Linked DNA regions of Notamacropus eugenii. The protein of the gene in region 2 purifies or fractionates together with the protein of the main gene of each other region. This does not show direct contact. Links are inferred from orthologs where the notes say so. Each region holds a gene or a part of one and is shown on either strand. Other genes may lie near its edges.

Region 1 (6,970 bases), on a different chromosome or scaffold from region 2:
GGGATTCTTTGTAGGAAGTGTCTGATAAAAGTCTCATTTCTGAGATACATAGGGAAATTAATTATGTTTATAAGACTAAGAGGCACTCCCCAGTTGACAAATGGTCAAGGGATACAAATTGTTGTTGTGTTCATCCTTTGTTGCCGAAGAAGACCATGCCACCAGAGAAATGATGACATGACTTGCACTTGACTTTGTTTTGAGTGAGGGAGGGTGTGCAAGGTCACCAGTCTCGCTTTTTCCTCCTGAGCCATCTGGATCTAGTGACCAGATGATATTCATCAGGATGACTGGACATGGCCTAGGATGCAGTGGGAGACCTTGGCCCCTTTAGGTATATAAATAGGCAATTTTCAAAGGAATATGTGAAAGGAATATATTCAAAGGAATGTCACATGAAAAAATTTTCTCACTAATAATTAGAGAAATGCAAATGAAAACAACTCTGAGGTACCACCTCATGCCTATCAGATTGGCTAGGTTGACAAAAAAGTATAACAAAAGATGCTAAAGAGGATGTATACTAGGTACACTAATACACTGTTGGTAGAGTTGTAAACTAATTCAAAAATTCTGGAAAGCAATTTGAACCTATGCCTAAAATGCTATTAAATTGCTTATACCCTTTGATCTAGCAGTATTTATATCCCAAAGAGATCCCACAGAGGAGAAGGATCCCTAAAGGACAAAAATACTTATAGCAACTCTTTTTGTGGAGGCGCAGAATTGGAAACTGAGTAGGTGTTCATCAGGTGTTCAGCCAGGAACTGGCTGAACAAATTATGATATATGAATATGATGGAATACTAGTGTGCTGTAAGAGATAATGAAGAGGAAGGTTTTAGAAAAACCTGGGAAGACACATATGAACTGATGCAAAGTGAAGTGGGCAGAACTAGGAGAATAATTTATATAATAACAGTATTGTAAAAAGAACTTTGAAATATTTAGGAATTCTGATTAACACAATGACTAACCACAGTTCCAAAACACACATGATGAAACATGCTGTCCACCACCAGATAGAGAACTGATAGGTTCAAAGTACAAATGGAAGCATATTTTCTTTTCTTTCAAAAAAGAAATTTTTTTGGACATGACTAACGTGAGAATATGTTTTGTATGACTATGTACATTTATAATGGATTTTGCTTTTCTTACCTAATCAATATGTAAAAGAGAAGGAGAAAGGAAAAGAATTTGGAACTGAAAATAAAATAAAATTGAATTTTTTAATTGAATTGTGGTAGTTAGTGCCCCCCTTAGAAACTACTTTGCATGTATTTTGCATAGGTTTTTTTATTTACCTAAGTGTGTGTATATTTACTTATCTGTCCATAGAAACAACTTGGCCACAAGGACTTTTTAATGTTATCTTTGGTTCCCTAACCAAACCTGGCACATAGTAGGAACTTAGTAATTGCTTGTTGATTAATAAAATGCTTATTGAATTGATTATTGTTCAGCAGTTAGCTATTCAATATCAAAGGTGGGTTTTGAAACAGCATGTAGACCTGACAACTAATTATTAAATTAGTTTATATGGTAGCATTTATTTAATAGCCTGAAATTTGTTTAATCATCAGTCTCTTAGTTTACATCTCTTTCTTGCTCTGAAAAATCCCAAACAAGTCTAGTGGAGCCCATCTCCTAATGGATGTCTGGATGTTTTATTCAGGACTCATTTCTAACCCTATATATATTAATAAATGGACTGATTTATAAATTTGGTTGACATATGTTGTCAGTTTCAGTGAAGGAGATAGAAAAGGAAGCCAGGTTTCTAGGGACTGAGAAATGAGTGGGTGGCAAAAAAAAAAAAAAGTGGAGACAGCCAAGTATAGACTACTCTCTTTGGAAATTTAGCAGTGAATGGATAGGGACATATATGATAATAACTTAAGGAAGTGGCAGAGTCAGTGTTAGAGTTGTTTGTTTTGTTTTTTCAGATAAAGAAGACCTGAGCATTGCAGGAACAGCATTGTAGACTATATAAAGCAGTAACACTGGCACTGCTTCTGCCTTCTAATAGCAGATAAATGAAAATACATCATGAAAGCATTTGTATGTACCTATACAGGCAGGATAGCTATACAGCTGTTCTAAATTAGTCCCCTACTACATCCGTAGTCATGGACCTATATCTTACCACTGGACTCCAATGACTTCTGGGGGGAGAGGGAGGTTGATGATTTTGCACAGCTCTGCCTCACTTTGGGGGTGGGTATATGTGTGAAATGTCATTTTGCTTCCATTTAGGGAAGAATTCCTCAAGGAATGTGGGGTTTTAGGAGTATGAGAAGGGCATGGCATTTATTGATTAGTTGGTAGGCAGGGGAAGATGGAACAAAGTAGGCTCACTTGGCCCTTAGGCTTTACTGATAAGAGTTAGAGGACAGATAAAGTCATTTACCAACAGAGAAGTGTTTTGCCTCCTAGAGTGGACGTTGCTTTTGCCAGGAGTATCTCTCCTGATTATGATGACCAAGGTTGGCTTGGAAAGAGAAATGGGACACTAAGGGTATGGAACGCTACATATACTGTCAGATTCCACTAAAGTGTTGGTTAGTTTTACCAAACTGTTTTTCCCTCTGGCTTTTTTATTGTTATAAGGGATGGCTCCTTGGGTGATGGTGGGGAAAGAATATTTGGAAATGAAGGTCTTATTAAACTAAGTTTTCCCTCTTTTTTATTGTTATAAGGGATGGCTTCCTGGATAGAGGTGGGGGGCTCATATATTTGGAAATGAAGGTAATGAAAGAAATATGGCAAAATTTCTAAAAATTAAGAGTACACTCTTCTGACCATACTGAATTTCTTTCAGGCATCTATCTTTGTTACTCTGAGTTAAACTCTCCAGAAAGCAATGAATTTGCCTTCCCTCCCCTACAGAGAAACTCAGCATTTGTGGGGAGGTAGAGATGGGGATGACTAGGGAGAGGGCCAAAGAAATGACTTGCAGTCAAGAGCAGCTTTACGTCTTATGTCTAGAAGACTAACCAGAAAGGGCAATGCTTGACCCAGGGGAATAAATCTCTCACGGCATCTTGAGCCACTGGGAAGAAAAAGATTTGGGGTTAAGGTGTACCTTCCTAGAACTCAACTTTCCACAGAACCTTGAAGGTCCTTCCAAGTATTAGGAACCTTCCCTCACTTCATTTCCCCCACACTCCTTTTTGCCCTGGGTTAAAGTGGATGGGAGTGGGAAGCAAGGGGGAGGAAGGAGAAGAGAGAGCAAAGAGGATAGGAAGGACAGATAAAGGAAGAATAAAAGGGAAGTGGGGAGACAGGGGGGAGAGAGAGACAGAGAGAGACAGGGAGAGAGAGGGAGAGAGGGAGGGGGGGAAGGGAGAAACAGAGAGGGAGAGGGAGAGAGAGAGAGGAGAGGGAGGGAGAAAGAGGAGAGGGAGGGAGAAGGAAAGAGAGAGAGAGAGAGAGAGAGAGAGAGAGAGAGAGAGAGAGACGGAGAGGGAGGGAGAGAGAGGGAGAGAGAGAGGGAGGGAAGGAGGGAGGAAGGGAGGGAGGGAGGGAGAGGGAGAGGGGGGAGAGAGGGAGGGAGGGAGGGAGAGGGAGAGGGGGGAGAGAGGGAGCTGGGGGAGGCGGGGCCTCCGAGGACACCTGCCCGGCTGCGCTCCGGCGCTCGCAGCTCCAGGCACAGAGAGCACGCCCAGGTACCGGCGCCCTCACGCCCACTCCCACCCGAAGGACAGCTCAGGCCCTCCCCCAGCCCCCTCCATGACCCTCATCCTCAGCCGCGGGGAGGGGGTCGAGCGCGCCGGCCGGATGATCGGGCGCCCCTCTCGGCCCCTGTCAATCAGAGGCGGAGGCCGCCGTCCTGCCGCGCTCCGGGGCGGGCCCCCACGTGACGGGAAGCGGCGGCGGGGCCCGGACGGAGCCCCTGGGGGAGCTGCGGAGCCAACCCGGAGCCGGGCCGGGCGGGGCCGAGCCGGGCGGAGGGCGCGTGTGCGGGGCCCAGCAGTCCCGGGCCTCGGCGGCCGCCGCAGCCGCAGCCGTGAGCGGGAGGCTGGGCGCAGGAGCGGCGGCGGAAGGCGGCTCGGGGCGGAGCGGACCGAGGAGGCCCGGGCTGGGCGAGCGCGGGTGAGGAGGGGGCTGCGGCGGGGAGGCCGCGGGGCTGCGGGCGGGCCGGGCTGTCACAGCGCTGAGGCGGGGCGGCCGGGCGGGTGGAGGGCGGCCGGGGCTCTGGCGTGCGTGCGTGCGGGTGTGTGTGTGTGTGTGTGTGTGTGTGTGTGTGTGTGTGTGTGTGTGTGTGTGTGTGTGTGTGTGTGTGTGTGTGTGTGTGTGTGTGTGTGTGTGTGTGTGTGTATGCGTGTATGTGTGCGGGGGTATCCTGGGGTGGGGGGGGTATCGTGCGTGCGTGCGTATGTGGTGTCCTGGTGTGTGTGTGTGCGCGTGCGTGTGTGTATGCGTGTATGTGTGCGGGGTATCCTGGTGTGTGTGCGTGTGTATGCGGATGTGTGTGTAAGTGAAATTTAGGAGGGTGGGATTCAGGGTGTGATCTTGTGGTGTGTATGTGTGGGGCTGTGTGTGTGATTTAGGGTGGTACGGCGTATGTATGTGCGCGTGTGTTAGGTTAGGGGCTGTATGTGGTTCAGGAGGTTGGGACTCTGTGTGTGTGTGTGGTGGAGGGGGATGGTCCTCTGCATGTTTTTTTGTGTATGTGTGTGTTAGGTTGGGGGTGTGGTTAGGAGGATGGGACTCTGTGTGTGGGGGGGCAGTTAGAAGGATGGGACCCTGGATATCTGTGTGTTTGGGGGATAGGGGAAAGATCCTGGAGACTCATTGCTTGATTTGAAGTGGAGGTTGAATACTTTCAAGACGAGGAAAGAGAATGAAGAGACCCTATCAGGGTCTCTTTCCTCTATCCCTAAGGCTGTTTGGGAGCAAGGAAGCAAGTGTATATGAACCATAAGTTGTTCCTAGGCATCTTGAAGTTTTAGAATATTTAAGGTTTATCTTTGTCCCAATGGGCAAGAGAACCTCATGGATGAAAAGATAGCAAGTCCAGTGTTGAATTAAAATGGATGGTTTTTGAGGATTGAAGAGCTCAAAGCCAGAATCCTGAGAGATTTTTCCCATGTTGCCAGTTGAGGTGCAAGTGGTGAGTTAGTTTTCACTTGTAGTTGATACTACCTCCTCTTGAGTACAGGAAGCTTTCCATGAATATGGACAGAAGGCTTAGTTTTCAGGCATCTGTACTTGTCAACACGGTAGCCAGCACTGTATGGAATCTCCTTTAGCAGCATTCGTTCACAAAGCTACCAGGGCCTGTGGATTACCTGCTGCCCACTAGGATTCCATGGAGTCATCATTAATGTTAGAAGAAGGCATTTAGTTTTGTAGGTTGAAAATTTAACTGAGTAAGGGGTTAATCACTGTTGAAATTGCTGCACTGTGAGAAGCTTCATCTCTTTGTTTTCAGGGAGGTCAGCATGTTGGCATTATTGTATTTGTCAGATTAATGCATTGATAAATCATGTGTGTGAGTATAATAGCACTATAATATGAGATGTTTCATTTGTAGGTCAGAATTGATGTCTGAGAACTGGCTCTCAGCCCAAATGAAGCCTGATGTTGAGGCCCACGACTCATTTGTAATTTATGTGCTTCCTCTCTCATAGTTAGACCAAAACCATCTGAGCTTTACTACAAAACCTGGGGAGAAAACATTTGGACGGTTTTTGTCCTTTCCCCTTCCTTTTCTGCTTGCTGAGTCTACTTCCTTTGCCTCTTCTCTCCAAAACACTCAGTGAAGCCAGTCTTTTTTGGCTCAGCATTTTTTTTTTTTTAGCAGCTGCAGTGGTGTGGAAAGAGCATTGGTTTAGGAAATCAGAGACTTGAGTTTTAACACTAATTCTTAGGCTAACTACATTGACCTTGGAAAAATTCAGTTGATCTTTTGGGCCACTTTTCATTATGTTTGAAGTTAGGAAATTGAAAGACCTCTCAATTTCCTTCCAGCACAAAACTTCTTCGATTCTGTGTGCTTTGAGTGCTGTCTTTGATAATAAAAGATGGGTGGGTGTTTCAGAGTAAGTTCACTTGTGGATTCTCTAGCCTGATTTCTGTTTAGGCAGTGGTAAGTTGGAATAGAAAATATAACAACATACTTAGCTTTCATTCATTCTTCTGTGTCATTTTCAGTCATGTATTTATTTCTGCAATAGTTTTTGTTCAACTTTAAGGTATTGTTATTATTAGAGATCATCTAACTTGACCTCTTATTCAAGGCTCAAATCCTTCTTAATAGTGGTTCAGTCTCTGCTTAAATATGTCCAGTCAGAGGATACTCAATACCTTTAAAGTGATTTGTTTCATTGTTGGGTAGCTTTAGTCACTGAATTCTTTGAAAATGAACAGAAACTATTACTCTTTTAAAATGCTACAACATCAAATTCCAATGTTCTACTGGCCCCTTTATTGAAGGGAACTGAAGTCCAAATATATTTAAAAGGTTTTTTAATAGACCCCCTTCTGCTTGTATTAAGAATTTAAGATTCTCTTAAAGGAAACTCTAGGTATTTTACTTAATGAGTTTAAGCCTTTTCATCTTGGTTAGAATCCAGTTCTCGTTAGAAATACATTAAAGTAATTATTTTCTGGAGCCAGGTGTTTGAAAGATATTCAGTAATTTGGCCCATACTTTCAACCCATTTCCTCTGTGGCAAGCCTGACCAGTTTTTCTTTATTAAAACAAACAGACAAAAGAAACACTCAAAAAAAACCCAACCCAAATCAAACAAACCCTGCAGAACTGCATGAATGTAGAATAATTTATATTGGCTAAGGTTTTCTAATGTTAAATATTAATACAAAATTTACTCTGTCTTACATAAGAAAAAGCTAAACCCTGGTTTCAAAATATAAAAGTACCATGAAACTGAGATACTTCCTTAATAGCATAATCTAAAGTAGCTAATTCATTAACTGTTAAAATTGTAGCTTGAAAAAG
Region 2 (6,923 bases):
AGGGAAAAAAAGAAATTTACATGATAACTTTAAAAGGAATTGCAAGCTGTACATATGATTTGCAGTTTCATGTACAATCATTTTGAAAAATTATACTGTTATGAAAATGCTTGCTTTATTCCATAAATTAAAAACAAAATAAATAAAAATTGTTTTTTTTAATGTATATACTTACTAGGTGTTAGAGAGACAAGAGATTAGGAAAGAAGAGATGTCCTGTAGCCTTTCTTAGGTAGGGAACAATTGTTCCTAGGTGCTGGAGAAACAGAAATAAAAAGTGGAAAACATTTTTAAAATTTCATTTATTTATTTATTTATTTGTGTTTTTGGAGGGAGGAAGGCAAGGCAGTTAAGTGACTTGCCCAAGGTCACACAGCTAGTAAGTGTCAAGTGTCTTGAGACTGGATTTGAACTCAGGTCCTCCTGACTCCAGGGTCGATGCTCTGTGGTGGCACTGTGCCACCTTGCTCCTCCAAAACATTTCTTTTTTTAAGTGAAAAAAATTATTCTTCAATTTGCACTTAGTTTATCACTTTTCTCTCTGAAACAGGTTTTTCATCACAAGTCCTTTGGAATAGTCTTGAATCATTGTATTCTTTCATCATTCTAATATTGCTGTTATTGTGTACAATAATCTCCTGATTTTGCTCATTTCACTCTGCATCAGTTCTTAAAGGTTTTCTCAAGTTTTTCTGAAACCATCTCCTTCATTATTTTTTAGAACACAGTAGTATTCCATCACAATCGTATACCACAACTTGCTTAGCCATTCTCCAATTAGTGGCATCTTCTAAGTTTCCAATTCTTTGCCACCACAAAAAGAACAGCTATAAATATTTTGTACATATAGGTCCTGTGAAAGACATTTCTACTGAGGAATACAACATGTAAACAGTAAGAAAAAGATAAATTAAGGAAAAATAGAGATTTTTTTTTTAATGCTAGCGATAATAGGGAATCTCTAAACTTTTGAACAAGAATGCTGCTCAGAGATGAAGATCCAGGTCTTAGAGTATATCAGTGGTTTTGTGGTAGAAGATGGTCCAGCAAAAGAGAAAGCGGAGAAAATGGACAAATAAGAGAAACCAGGAGAGACCAGGAGAAAGTGGAGGCAAAGAGTGTAATTTTTTTTTCTGAAAGGGAAGTGATTTAGGAAGATAAGCCCCCACCCACCACCCCCATTTGTCAGAAACTGGAACAGAGGAGATGAGGATGGTGAATGATAATACAAAAGAGATTTTAAGGTGTATAATAAGGATTTCACATTAGATGGTCCCAACTTTTTCACTTAAGTAAAGGTTATATCCTTCGAGATAAAGATTGGAGGGGAAGGTATATTAGGCTCCCTCATTTGTAAGACGGAGGGTTGTTAGAGTGAATGAACAGCTCAAGCTTTTATTGAATATCTATTACACTATAATACAAAGACAAAAAAGTCAAACAACCCTCTGGTCTCAAGGGGCATCTGTTTTACTGACTGTTCTGGGTTCATAAGACTCAACAAGCTAACCGAAAGAGAGTATCTAATCTGATACCTTTACTGTTTATACAAGGTATTCCAAAAAGTCTTAATGCAGTACTGAGCTTTTAATAGCTTTAAATGGCACTAAACTCTTGAAACGGACGTTAGTTAAGTGGCTTACCCACAGTTAAACAACTGATGTGCATCCTATGGTGAGTGGAGTGCTGGACTTCGAATTGGGAAGACCTGTGTTCATGTCCCGCCTTTCATTTCTTATGTTTTTAATCCCTCTGATCCTTAGTTATCATATGATAATGTCACAGGGTAAAATCTTACAATCCATAAATGCCAGTACTTGTCATAGTTACTGTTTTTATATTTGCTGTTAAGTATATGATTTGAAATTTAAACTCAAGTCTTTGATCCCAAATAATAGGACTTATTTATATAGGACCTCCAAATTGTTCTTCCTACTACATCAGGGATTCTTTACCTTTTTATATGTCATAGACACCTTTGGCAGTTCAATGAAGTGTATGGACCTGTTCTCAGAGTAATATTTTTAATTACACTGAATAAAGTGCATAGGATTGATTACAAAAGAAATTGATGAGATTGAATAAAATTATCTACCTATTTTTTTTTAAAGTTTATGGACCTTATTTCTAAAGTTCTGTAATAAATAATGAATGGGGATCTCAGGAAACAAACCAAAAATCTAATGCTTTGTTCATTAATTGAGGGTGGTGCTACAGTTTGTTTTGAAAATTCTGAGTTTTATGCTTGGGGACACCAGGAGATAGGTTAGACTTTTAAGTCCACTGCTGACCTTCTGGCCTTTCTCTATCCCTGGATTGCGCACGTTAGAAGTACTTTCTATCCCTGAAGCCTCTTCCTCCCATTAGCAACTTCCCCACAGAACATCCATTTTGAGAACTATCCCCAGATCACCCTGGTCTTCAATTTCTCCAGGCTACACTCCAGCTGGCTCTTTAGATTTTCTCTACAATGCCCCCTAAGTCATCTGGTTGTTGTTGCTGCTGCTTGGTCATTTCAGTTGTGTCTGACTTTTCATGACTGCATTTGGGGTTTTCTTGGCAAAGATATTAAAATGGTTTACCATTTCCTTCTCTGGCTCATTTTATAGATGAAGAACTAAAGCAAGCAGGGTTGAGTGACTTGTCCAGGATCACACAGCTAGTAAATGTCTGAGGCTGGATTTGAACTCAGGAAAACAAATCTTCCTGACTTCAGGCCAGGCACTCTATTCACTGTACAGCCTAGCTGCCCTTGGTACCCTCCTGGTACCTTTTTATTTTTCCCACCCCATCTCAGTTTTCTTTATGTATTGTCTTCTTCCATTAGAGAGTAAAGTTCCCGAGGTCTGGGACTGGCTTTCTGCTTGTGTCTTCCCAGCCTTAGCACCATGCCTGGCATATAGAAAGCCCTTAATAAATGCTTGTTAACTTGATATGATGTTGGACTTTTTAAGTGCTTTCCTACCCATGTGGAGGACTCTATAGCTTTGACTTTTTAACATACTGCAAAAGCTTTTTTACAGCACACTTTGAATAATAGTCATGAAGGACACCATCCTTAGCACACCCAGGCTGCCCTTCCTTGGTGTCCTTCATTCTCATTTGTACGGAACAGCTGTCTTGGATCTTGAGAAATTCTCTGCTATGGAATCTTCCCAGTACCTTTTTGAGTGAGGGAGGATGGTGTCCACCAGGGGCACAGGGCCAGGGCTTTTACTGATATGCCTGAGAGTTGTATTATAAGGTGCCTGTAATTCTAGGTGGTTCCAGGATGGGACATGAATTTCATTGTGTCTCATTGCATCTCCTTATGTTAAAAATGTGCAGCTACACCAACATTGACGTTCGTTTTGTTTATTCCTGAAAACATGGCATTTTGTTTTGCTTTTGGTCATTCAGCCTCATTTGGGGTGATTGTCAGCTGGGAGGTTGGCAGGAGGGGGAGAAGAGAAAGCTGCATTTTGGCAACCCTTCAAGAGTCGAGCAGCTTCCTGCAGCCAGGACCATAAACTGTATAATTTGTCCATGGAGGCCTATGCATTATAGAAATGAAAATTCCTTCTCTGACAGCATTCACTGCTTAGCACGCAGCAATTTGGCTGTCAGAAACAGCTGGCCCTGCAGGGTGGGACAATAGAAAGGCAAGACTGAGAGAGAAGGAAGTGCTTACTCAAATCTCCCACTGTGAGAGGATCAGGTTACTGAGTCCATCCTTACAACAGACAGCAGACTGCACGGGGCTCTAAGACACACAGCTTCAAGTCTGAGCAGGAGACTATGGTTCAGACATTTTAGTGGTGTTTTGGGATTTTTTTCTTTTCCTGAATGGAACAACAAAAATATTAAAAAAACAAACCTCCTTCATGGGTACTCCAAATGTGGCTTTCTCTTTGCATTAAGATATTTTGAGAGTCTTCTGCTTGGAGATAAGCATTAATGGGAAAGTAAGTCCTTTGAGCTCTTGCGTGTGTCTAATTCATTGGGGCAGTGGAAGGGTATGTGAGGGACGGGGAAAGTATTTCTTGATATATTTCATGCTTGGTCTAGAACTTTTTTGTTCTGTTTAGGAACAGTTTTTAATTGAAAGTGATTGACACAAATATGAGGGAAGACCGAAGCAAGAGGCTGGCCGAGGGCTCCTTCTGGGTGCGTTTTTGCTGCTTGCATGGGTGCACACTGTCTAACTGGCATTTATTTCTCTTGGAGGGAGAGAGAGGTGCCGCTGTCTTGAACTTGCTTCTCTCTCTGTGGGTCTGCAGCATGTCTGGCTTTGTGTTTTCCCCTATCGATTCCATGACTCACTGAGTGTGATCTAAGCAAAAAGCTTGCTTAAATGACAGAGGAGACAGCTGTCTGTTACAGGAGGACATATTTTCTGGGTTTAATGGCGCCAGGTTTTTCCTAGTAATGTACAGAGCTGTAAAGTTTCTACAGAAGGTTTTTTCTTCACTAAATGTTTTCCCCCAGTTGTGTTCCAAATTCTTAATAGTCTAAATATTAACTTCACAATGTGATGTGTCCTTCAGGAAAGCAATATGCTTCAGGTTTTTTTTTCTTTTTGTAGATTACTTTTCTAAGCTGATTTTTTTTTCATGTAAAAAGTATTTGAGAGAACAGAAGCCCAGCATTGCTGTGGAAAAGATATTTTCTTCTCCAGCTGAGTAGGGCATTGGAAATATACTAAAGTACATTTATTTAGGCAAGTTAGAGGGTTGGAATCTGGTAGTTGTTCAATTTATACTGTACTCTAGGTTTTTTTTTTTTTGAATTTTCCTTCTCCCCTTTAAATCTGTTTCCCCTTTATATGATAGAGGCTGAAGTTCCAGATGTTGTTTTGGTTTAAAGAGTGTGTGGAAAAAAAATAAGCTTTCTTAATGATAATAACAGAGTCAGACTGGCTGGTTCTGTACTGACAGGAAAATGGAGAGATAAAAACTCCATTAATGGTGCATGCACTGCCTAAGTAGCCAATAAAACAATGCTGTCTTCACTGGAAACTAGTCCCAGATTGGCAATGATCAGTGCCAACTGCAAAAGACAACAGCTGCAGAGCTTGACAAAAGTATTAGAGTAAAAAAACGATATATTAAATGATTTTTGAGAGGGGGAGGGCGGTTCTTTTGTTCTCATCTTCCTTCTCCTTCCCACCCTCTTTTCTTAAGTCCTGCTTAATACTTGCTCTTTTGGAGAGTTAACCATGTTTGATTGAAACTTAGCTATCAAAAGAAGAAAGTGATTCTCTGAATGAGTCAAGTTCAAGTATATTTGCTGAGGTTTGGATAGAGGGCTGTTTTTGACTAGGGACCTAAGTGCGAGTGTATCTTAAATTTTTAAAAGTGGCCTCACTTTTCACAAAAGTTTTATTTTATTCTTTAAGTTGGTAGAAGAAAACATTTTTTCCCTAGCTTTACTTCCTAGAAATATCTTCCATTTTCTGAGTGATACATTCTTTTTACTTCTACACCACAGGTATTATTTTATTATTTTCTAAAATGTAGCTCATTTCATAAGACATTATTATGTATTGTACAAAGTTTGTATTCATTCATTCAGTAAATACTTTTTGAAAATCTGTATGTGACACTGAAGTGTATACAAAATCCTTGGCTGAGGAGGAGGTTAAAATTTGGCAAGTAGACTACAACTTAATAATGTGCACTTTTTCTTTTCATTTTTAAATCAAATTTAATTTTTTCAAACAATGAAAATCTGCCTTATCTCTTCTCTCCCATTGAGAAAAAAGAAAAAGAAAACTGTTGTTACAAACATGTATAATCAAATAAAACAAATTCCCACACTGATCACATCCAAAAAACAAAAAAATCTTCAATCTGTACAATGAGTCTATCACCTCTTTTTCAGGATTTGGGTAGCTTGACGATCACAGGTCTTCTGGAATTAAATAGTCGTTGTGTAGAACTGTATTCTAAATCTTTCAAAGTTGTTTATTGTTTAAGTATTGTTGAATAATATGCTTTTCTATAGAATTTGGAACTTTGAAGTTTCTAAAAAGACTATTTGCATAAAATTAACTATAAAACAAAGTAGTAAGTCCTGAACTGCATAAATGTTGAAAGCCACAGTGAATTGTATAGGCATTCAGAAGAGTTCAGATACTCTCCTTTATAAGTATTTTGCCATCTGAGGTGTATCAGTGGATGTATGCAGGATGTGCAGATTAGAAACTTTAAATTACATGAGTGGACAAGATATAACATATAGGTTAATGTTATGTAGATATATTTGGGATGGAGATGTAGAAGCCTGTTGTTAATGTTTATCCTTTGCTATTGAGAGGTCCAATGATATCACAAGGGTGATGTCTTGACTTCAGTAAGAATTGAAGTGAGGCAGAATTACACAAAGTCTTCAGCCTCACCTCACCCTCTGGTTGAGCAGTCCAGTGGCAAGACAAAAGTTTGGATGACTAGTGATAGCTTAGGGTGCAGCGGATGACCTTGAGTTTTCTAAATTAAGGTCTTGCCCAGCCTTCAGTTTGTCTGACAGTGTGTGTGTGTGTGTGTGTGTGTGTGTGTGTGTGTGTGTGTGTGTGTGTGTGTGTGTGTAGGAAAGCTGCATGAAGGAGGTACAATTTGGGATGTTTAAATTGTAACTGATGAATCATCTGGTGTTATGGGGAGGAAGAAATACCCTAGATTTTGGGGGGCTCCTCTGGCTAGAGAAGATAGTAGTGATCTAAGTGGAAGAAGCATTGAGCAAGACAGAAAGAATGAACTGTGATATGAGTGACTTGGAAGTGAAGAATTTTGAAGGTGAATGAAACTTTTGGGTTTGATCCGTAAAACTAGACTAGAGTTTTAGGGAGGGGTTAATTTAGAGCTGGAAATAAGGACCATAGTACTCATCTAACCCTATTTCCTTTATTTTATAGATGAAGGAAAGGAAACCCAGAGAGGGTAAGT

Evidence for each region. Proteins that work in one complex are often made in the same cells at the same time.
Region 1: the proteins of ACVR1 (region 2) and TGFBRAP1 purify together in Homo sapiens (co-immunoprecipitation; 3 studies listed by BioGRID and IntAct, counting the BioPlex papers as one, with this or other methods). This does not show direct contact. The link is inferred for Notamacropus eugenii from reciprocal best matches to the Homo sapiens genes ACVR1 and TGFBRAP1.

What each region holds. Positions count from the first base shown.
Region 1 is NC_092877.1:200,324,919-200,331,888, reverse strand, and holds the start of TGFBRAP1 (transforming growth factor-beta receptor-associated protein 1), read left to right. Parts: upstream 1-3,958; 5' UTR 3,959-4,098; intron 4,099-6,970. UniProt on the Homo sapiens protein: Plays a role in the TGF-beta/activin signaling pathway. It associates with inactive heteromeric TGF-beta and activin receptor complexes, mainly through the type II receptor, and is released upon activation of signaling.
Region 2 is NC_092876.1:216,757,550-216,764,472, reverse strand, and holds the start of ACVR1 (activin receptor type-1), read left to right. Parts: upstream 1-3,921; 5' UTR 3,922-3,936; coding exon 3,937-3,944; intron 3,945-6,923. UniProt on the Homo sapiens protein: Bone morphogenetic protein (BMP) type I receptor that is involved in a wide variety of biological processes, including bone, heart, cartilage, nervous, and reproductive system development and regulation.